Sus scrofa: one gene and its partner. The protein of the gene in region 2 purifies or fractionates together with the protein of the main gene of each other region. This does not show direct contact. Links are inferred from orthologs where the notes say so. Each region holds a gene or a part of one and is shown on either strand. Other genes may lie near its edges.

The links.
Region 1: the proteins of CD40 (region 2) and baculoviral IAP repeat-containing protein 2 purify together in Homo sapiens (affinity purification with western blotting; 4 studies listed by BioGRID and IntAct, with this or other methods). This does not show direct contact. The link is inferred for Sus scrofa from reciprocal best matches to the Homo sapiens genes CD40 and BIRC2.

What each region holds. Positions count from the first base shown.
Region 1 is NC_010451.4:33,040,327-33,044,443, forward strand, and holds the start of baculoviral IAP repeat-containing protein 2, read left to right. Parts: upstream 1-1,280; 5' UTR 1,281-1,418; intron 1,419-1,915; exon of another isoform or gene 1,916-2,097; intron 2,098-3,193; 5' UTR 3,194-3,309; exon of another isoform or gene 3,310-4,117. UniProt on the Homo sapiens protein: Multi-functional protein which regulates not only caspases and apoptosis, but also modulates inflammatory signaling and immunity, mitogenic kinase signaling, and cell proliferation, as well as cell invasion and metastasis.
Region 2 is NC_010459.5:48,289,061-48,292,705, forward strand, and holds part of CD40 (tumor necrosis factor receptor superfamily member 5 precursor), read left to right. Parts: intron 1-1,076; coding exon 1,077-1,155; intron 1,156-1,445; exon of another isoform or gene 1,446-1,467; coding exon 1,468-1,593; intron 1,594-1,872; coding exon 1,873-2,019; intron 2,020-2,360; coding exon 2,361-2,454; intron 2,455-3,645.

The DNA.
Region 1 (4,117 bases), on a different chromosome or scaffold from region 2:
CCAAGAGATTGTAACTTGAACTAAACACTGAAATACTATCAAAACTCATGTGCATATTTGGAAGAAGTTTTTAGTCATTGGGAATCAAGCATGCATTTCTTTTCTCTGTATCACAAGCTGTTACAAATACTTTTACTATTAACATTGGAACAGAAGCCCTCCTGTTCTGTTACTGACTGGCAGGCAGAAATGACGGGGAGGAAATGGGAAATGGTTCAGGGTCTCGGAATTCCCCTGGCTGCCTAATTAAGTGGCTTGTTATTTGGAAGTTTTTTTTGAAATATTTGCCCCCTGGAGTTCCCCTGAGAGAAGAAAGCATCCGATATCATTGACAATGAGTGTCTTCACAGAACATAAATTAAAAAATTCTCCTGCCGCCATTCAACTAATACTGCATGCAACTGTCTGTCTTCACCCCATTGCTAAAGAGGGGGCTGGAAAACGTCCCTGACTAGTAAAGGTAGTATTTTGTATTTACAATTTTTTTCTGACAGTTAACTTTTAAAATGTGATGGACAAATGGGCTCCTTTATGGTTCGTGTACGATTTACATATACACACATCTACATAAATGTATATATTCCGTTCTAGCCACATTCAGAAAAAAGGGGGAGTGAAGCCTGGCCTGAAACACCGTGTTCACTTTGCTAGTGATGAAAATAGGACACTTTTCGTTAATGCATTCGTCTCCAGAAGAGAAAAACAGAAAAGATAGTGATTATATAATAGATATGCCCCCCAACATTATAGAATCAAGGCTTCAAAATTAATCTGAGGCTGTTCTGCTTTCCAACACTTGGCTTTTTTCCCATCCCCAGGGCCAGCTGTGGAAGGTTGACGCCAGGCAGCTGCAAAGGGGAAATGGTTACAGCTGTTTACTTAGTTGCAGCCGAAACGCCTCCGGGCTGACTCCACCCTCAAACGCCGTCATCCACGCCGAGGGGAGGGTCCCATTGGAGGAATCCGGCCGGGAACTAATCCCGGCGAGTCGACGTGGGGAGAGGTTCGCCACCCGCGCCCGGGCGTTTCCCCAGGGCTTCCAAAGATTCAAACTCGACGGCTCTCGCCACGTCCCGCTCAGGAGGATGAGAGGGACAGCGAGGGAAAGTGCTCTCGCAGCGAGATTGAAGATTAGCACACCAAGCTCACGCCCAGCCCTGCCTTCCCCTGAGGGCTGACCGCGCGCTGGGTCCCGCTCTCCGCCCACAGACTCCGGGGCGCCCTCGCAGAGGGAGTGACGCGCACCCGGTCGGCGCGCTGACGTCATCGTGCGTCTGCGTGGGCCCTGAGCGGGCGGGGGGGGCCCCAGGAGCTCTAACTGCGCAGCCCAGCCGGCAGTTCAGCCCGCGTCGTTGCTCCCGGGACTGTGGAGGCTCCTGGTGGCACTGCTGTTTCGTGTTGGACGCGTCTGCCCTGTGGTGAGTGCAGGTCCTTCCGGACCCAGGCCTCGCGGGGCTGGGTCGGGGCGCGCAGGCCGCGGGGCCTGCCTTCCCCGAGACTGCAGTTGGGCTGGGGAGGACAGGGCCGGGAGTCGGGGGTCGCAGGTAGCAGTTAGCTCTTTGCTACTCTACTGTCGAAGATGCTTTTGTTTAATTCGGAAGCTCCAGTTCCAAGACATGCTGTCGAAAATAATTTTTTTAATTGACCTGTTTACAAGTCTACTCTGGCCGCTTCTCACTTTTCTGGCCCTTGGCCTTTGGCCAAGATGTTTTAAGAGTTTTTGCAGGGTTTTAAACTTAACCCTCGGTATTCCTTTATTTAATATATTCAAACGGAGACAGTAACGTATCGGCGAGATCTCTTGTTTCAGATAGGTACAACCCCGCTTTGCCACTTTAGTATTCTATTGTATATTGCGAGAAATAACTCGGGGAAATTAATAAAATTCCATAATTTCTCTTCTTTTTCCTTGCAGTCTGTCTCCTTCCCCTTCCCCCCAGCCACAGTTTGCCTAAAGAGGGCAAATCCTGTACAGTTCCTGCAGATTAAAAATATGCAAAGATAGGACCTCAAGTCCTTGTGTAACGGAGGCATTCATTCAAGCGGTCACATTCCCAAGGCCAGTGTTTCATAGGCCATTGTGCTGTGTTTTGTTTTGTGAGTTGCTTTCTGCGAATTGTTGCTTTGGAATTGTGAAGGCATTGTATTCACGAGTTCCTGGTGAATTTTAACTCTTAGTAGTTTTTTTGCCTAGTTCTGGAGAGACTTGACATTAAGAAATAACGTTATTGTCTGGATAACTGCTGTACTGTTGATGATGGGTGCAGTCTATTTTTCACCCTCCCTTTTTACCGCTAGCAAATTGCCATAGATAATTATCCTTAAACTAAATTATAAGTTGTCACCAGAAGAGGGGAGGAGGAGTTCCCGTTGTGGTGCAGTGGAAACGAATCCAACTAGGAACCATGAGGTTGTGGGTTCGATCCCTGGCCTTGCTCAGTGGGTTAAGGAGGTCTCAGACGCGGCTCGGATCTGATGTTGCTGTGGCTGTGGTGTAGGCCGGCAACTATAGCTCTGATTGGACCCCTAGTCTGGGAACCTCCTTATGCCCCGGGTGGCCCTAAAAAGCGCGCGCACACACACACACACACACACACACACACACACACACACAAGAAGAAGAATAGGGGAGGAGACCAGGGGCGAAGTATTTTACTATGTCCATCTGTCTTCAAAGTAGTACATAAAAAAAAAAAAATGTGTACTTATTGCTAAGGGGAGTATACTGCATTTATTTTAAAAGGCTTTGCAATTAATTTTGGTGACAAATTGCTGGAATTAAGATGTATTATTTAGGAGTTCCCGTCGTGGCGCAGTGGTTAACGAATCCGACTAGGAACCATGAGGTTGCGGGTTCGTCCCTGCCCTTGCTCAGTGGGTTAACGATCCGGCGTTGCCGTGAGCTGTGGTGTAGGTTGCAGACGCGGCTCGGATCCTGCGTTGCTGTGGCTCTGGCGTAGGCTGGTGGCTACAGCTCCGATTCAACCCCTAGCCTGGGAACCTCCATATGCTGCGGGAGCGGCCCAGAAATAGCAACAACGACAAAAGACAAAAAAAAAAAAAAAAAAAAAAAAGATGCATTATTTAAAGTATAAGTCACTTTTAGAATTTACTGAATAAATTGAGAAAATTATAAACTGTATTTACTGTGAGAATATGGTTTTCTAAAATAGCTTTTGTTTTTTCTTTTCAGATTTACAGTCCTGAAGAGTCTACTTTTGCCCTCTCATTTTTTCCCATTGAAGTAATAAATCCAGTTGTGGAGACTCAGAAACTTTATGAAGGGATATAGTTTGCATTCTGTGCAATGTAATTTTGTGTATGAATTATATTTTTAATTTATGAAGGGTTTTCAGAAAGAAGGCTAGTAGGGTTAATTATTGGTACATTACGCATGAATAGTGATTCTGTTGATAATGCAGTATCTTCTTAGGCTTATGTGTTAACACTAGAAAGGACAAACTGTATCTTGATAAATATTTACCTTTAATTACAAAATGAGTAATATACATGCATGATTCTTAAACAAAAAAAGTTAATTTTTTAAGAAAGTTTCTCCTGTGAAAATTTTATGGTTAACTAGTTAAATTTATGGAGAAAATACCCTCAATTGATCAAGTGTAATAAACTGTTTGCAAAGTTAGGAAGAAAAACAACATAATGATGCTGCAGGTAATGGAAACAAATATAGACAATATTTAACAAAGATGGAAGAGTTATCAGTTTTTGAAGGAAGCAGAATTCATTTCCTTTGACATCACACAGGCTTCAAGAAAGCTAGTAGGTATTGACATCCCCGAAAGTTGTTAGCTGAAGCTAATTTAACCTTCTTAAGTAAATACTGCGTTGGTAAACTGTGAAATTAGCTTTTAGATAATGCGACCATATGGAGACTTTAATTCTTTTTTACTAGAATAAAAGATTTTTTAAAGTATCATACTAAAGTGCTGGTAGGGAAAGAAGCCTGCATTTAGTTTTTTTCCTCTTGTAGAATAATAATTAATTGGCTTTATAACCAGGCTTTGTAACTTATAACCAAAGGCAAATTAAAGGCATAATTTAGGTATTCTATGCTTGTTTAGAATTTTGGGACTATAAACCTCTGTTTTAACATTTT
Region 2 (3,645 bases):
AGTGCAGGTGAGACCCGAGTTGATGGAGAGAGGGAGTATTGAGACCCGAGTTCTCATTCAGATTCTATCACTGTGTGACCTCAGGCAAATGACCCAGCCTCCCTGGTCCTTATTCTCATCTTTATTATTATTATTATTATTATTATTATTATTATTATTATTTTGGTCTTTTTAGGGCCGCACCTGCGGCACATGGAGGCTCCCAGGCTAGGGGTCAAATTGGAGCTATAGCTGCTGGCCTACACCACAGCCACAGCAACACCAGATCCGAGCCACATCTTTGACCTACACCACAGCTCGCGGCAATACCAGATCCTTAACCCACTGAGTGAGGCCAGGGATCGAACCTGTGTCCTCGTGGAGGCGAGTCGGATTCGTTTCTGCTGCGCCACGACGGGAACTCCTTCATTACCACTACCACTACTAGTATTACTATTACTGGTCGTGCCCACAGTATGGGGAAATTCCCAGGCCAGGGATCGACCCGAATCCTTAACTGCGAGGCCACCAGGGAACTCCCTCTCATCTTAAGTAAAGTGGGAGAGTTGGATTTTGTCCTTCTGCCTTCACAGCCCTGGTACTTCATGAGGGAGGGGTTAGATGATCAGATGATGAGGGGTTGGAGGGAGAAAACATGGTGTGGCTTGGAGACGGGGAGGGATGGGGAACAAAAGAATAGAAGGAAGAGGCCAGGTGCTAAATATAGCCCCAATCGGGACTAGGACCAGCTGGAGCCAGCCAAGCTCCAGGGGAGGGGCTGGAGTCCTCATGTGCTTTTGGCTCTTTGGGTAGAGGAAAGACCCAGGAGTCAAGCCAAAAGGAAGATCTGTTTAGTTCAGTGAATAGTGTGAGGTTCCAGCGCAATTACCTTGTAAAATACCAGAATGACTCTCTGGGTGCCTTTGCCATCACACCAGTTGGCAGAGTGGTTAAAAACAAAACTCACCAAATAATATGCAGGCCTCCCTTGCCTGCTGTGACTTGCACTTCAGCTCTAACCTCTTGCCTCTTCCTGCCCAGGAGGCTACTGCAGAGATCTCAAGACCCCTTCAAATTGCCCCTGATTCTGCTTTTAGGTCCACCCAGAACCACCCACTTCATGCAAAGAAAACCAATACCCAACAAACAGCCGGTGCTGTAATTTGTGCCCGCCAGGTGAGAGAGATGCTAACCCTCTAGCCCCGTAGTGCGACCCCCCCTTGGTCTGCTGGCAGATGCAGACCCCGTGTGTCAACTGTCAACTTGCGTCCTCGATGACCCCTGGATGGGATGTTCTGGGGCCCCTCTCTGCAGACCCAGCTCCAGGGTTCCTGTCTCTTTTATGTCCCCCACCAGACTACGAAGGCTGGAGGGGTCCAAGACTGTCATCTTTGAGTCCCCTTTCCTAAAGCCCAGCCTAACTGTTTTTCGATAAGTGTCTGACTTATAGAGTTGGCTGGAGGTACCTCACTTCCTGCTCTTTTCCAGGACAGAAACTGGTGAACCACTGCACAGAGGTCACTGAAACAGAATGCCTTCCTTGCAGTTCCAGCGAATTCCTAGCCACCTGGAATAGAGAGAAACACTGTCATCAGCACAAATACTGCGACCCCAGTGCGTGGGCTGCCGGGGAAGGGGCACTTGGGAGCCAGGTTGATATTCCAGCTCATTCCTGACAGCACAGCCTTTCTGTTTTGTTCTGTTTTGAATAGCCAGGGTCTGTTCTGATTGGGTTGGAGTCTGCGTTGTCCTGGTTGGTACCTAATTTGATTGCCATCCCTTGGCAAGGGTCTAAGAGGAAAAACAAACAGGAAGTGTGAGGAACAGGGACCCCCTGCCACCCCGAGCATGGCCAGCAAGGGGTTCCCATCCTTTCTGCCCATCTCTGCACAGACCTAGGTCTCCAGGTCCAGAGGGAGGGCACCTCGAAAACAGACACCACTTGTGTGTGCAGTGAAGGCCATCACTGTACCAACAGCGCCTGTGAAAGTTGCACCTTGCACAGCTTGTGCTTCCCTGGCCTCGGGGTCAAGCAGATGGGTAAGTGTCCTGTCTGGGAATCAGCTGTAGAAGCAGGCTCAGAGAGGAGGCAAGGGCCAAAGGAGAGGGGCTTGGTAGTGGGCACTCAGCCCTGGAGGTGGAGGGACCTGTCCCCATGGGTAGTTTCACTAGAGTGGGTGGGAACGGCAACCTTTTCCTTCCACCTCCTGCCATGGTGATCTGCCTCGGGAGGGCAGTGGGAGAAGCCTTCCTGGGGACTGCCTGACGGGGGGAAAGGTGCTTCAAGCAGGCTGCTCTTCCTATCCTGCCTGTCCCTTGGTTCCCTTGAGAGCCAGACAGGTGGTCCACTATGATGCTTAATGCTTCCTCTTCCCTCCCAGCGACAGAGGTTTCTGACACTATCTGTGAACCCTGCCCAGTTGGCTTCTTCTCCAATGTATCATCTGCTTCAGAAAAGTGTCAGCCTTGGACAAGGTATAAGGACGCATCCCTTGTATTTCCTGCCCCAAGGGCCAGGGACCTCCATTCTATCTGGCCACCTGCCTTTCTGCTCCCCATGGCCATGCACACTCGTACACCTGTAGAACTTCTAGAGTGACCTCCTGGCCTAGCAAACGGACACCTTTCCAGCATTTATTTTTTTTCCCCCTGTCTTTTTAGGGCTGCACCTGCAGTACACAGAGGTTCCTAGGCTTGGGGTCAAATCGGAGCAGCAGCTGCTGCCCTATACCACAGCAATGCCAGATCCAAGCCACGTCTGCGACCTACACTACAGCTGACGGCAACGCTGAATCCTTAGCCCACTAAGCGAGGCCAGGGATCGAACCTGTGTTCTCATGGATACTAGTCAGATTTGTTTCCACTGAGCCACAACGGGAACTCCAACACTTTTCAGCAGGTCTTGCCTGTTCTCTCTTGGTGGGAAGAGATACCGCAGATCGCTAATCTTCAGTGAAAGGCTCCCTTCTTGGGGGCATGTGACATCCCTCCTCTTTCCTTGTACCCCTTCCTCTGCTCCCCATTCCTCCTCCTCAGCTGGTTTTCTAGGCTTTTGTTCTAGGCTCTTCCAGCCCATCCCTTTGCCCGCCTGCCCTGGGCCATCTCATCAACATCCATGGCTTCAGCCACCATCTCCCTCAGGTGGTTCCCAGTCAACGTCCATCTAGATTTGTCTCCTGGGTCCCTGACTGTTGTATCTAACTGCGAAGGGTACACCTCCACGCAGGTGACCCACAGGCACGTGCCAGCTCCCCTCCCCCCTGTGTAACACGCTGGCATGCCTCCTTACCTGCCTCCCTGCCTCTGCTCTCTCTTCCTCAGCTGCTCCCCCATCCTTGCGCCAAGTTCGGATCATGGCACTCCCTATATAATATGCTTCATGGCTCCCTGTGCCTTTTAGGGTGAAACTCAGACTCCTGTGCATGGCCTCTGACCTTCCAGCTCCGTTTCCTGACCTCTTCCCACATCATGCCGGCAACCCCCTCAACACACTGTCTGTTCTGTTCTATCACACTCTTCTGCCTGGCATACTCTTCAACACATGCCTGATTAACTTTTTGCATTTAATTTGAAAAAAAATGAATAAGACAGATGTGAGGGCAGAAGGCACAAAAGGGCCTATAATAATATGGTCCTTTTCACCCTGTCCGTCAGCCATCTAGCAGC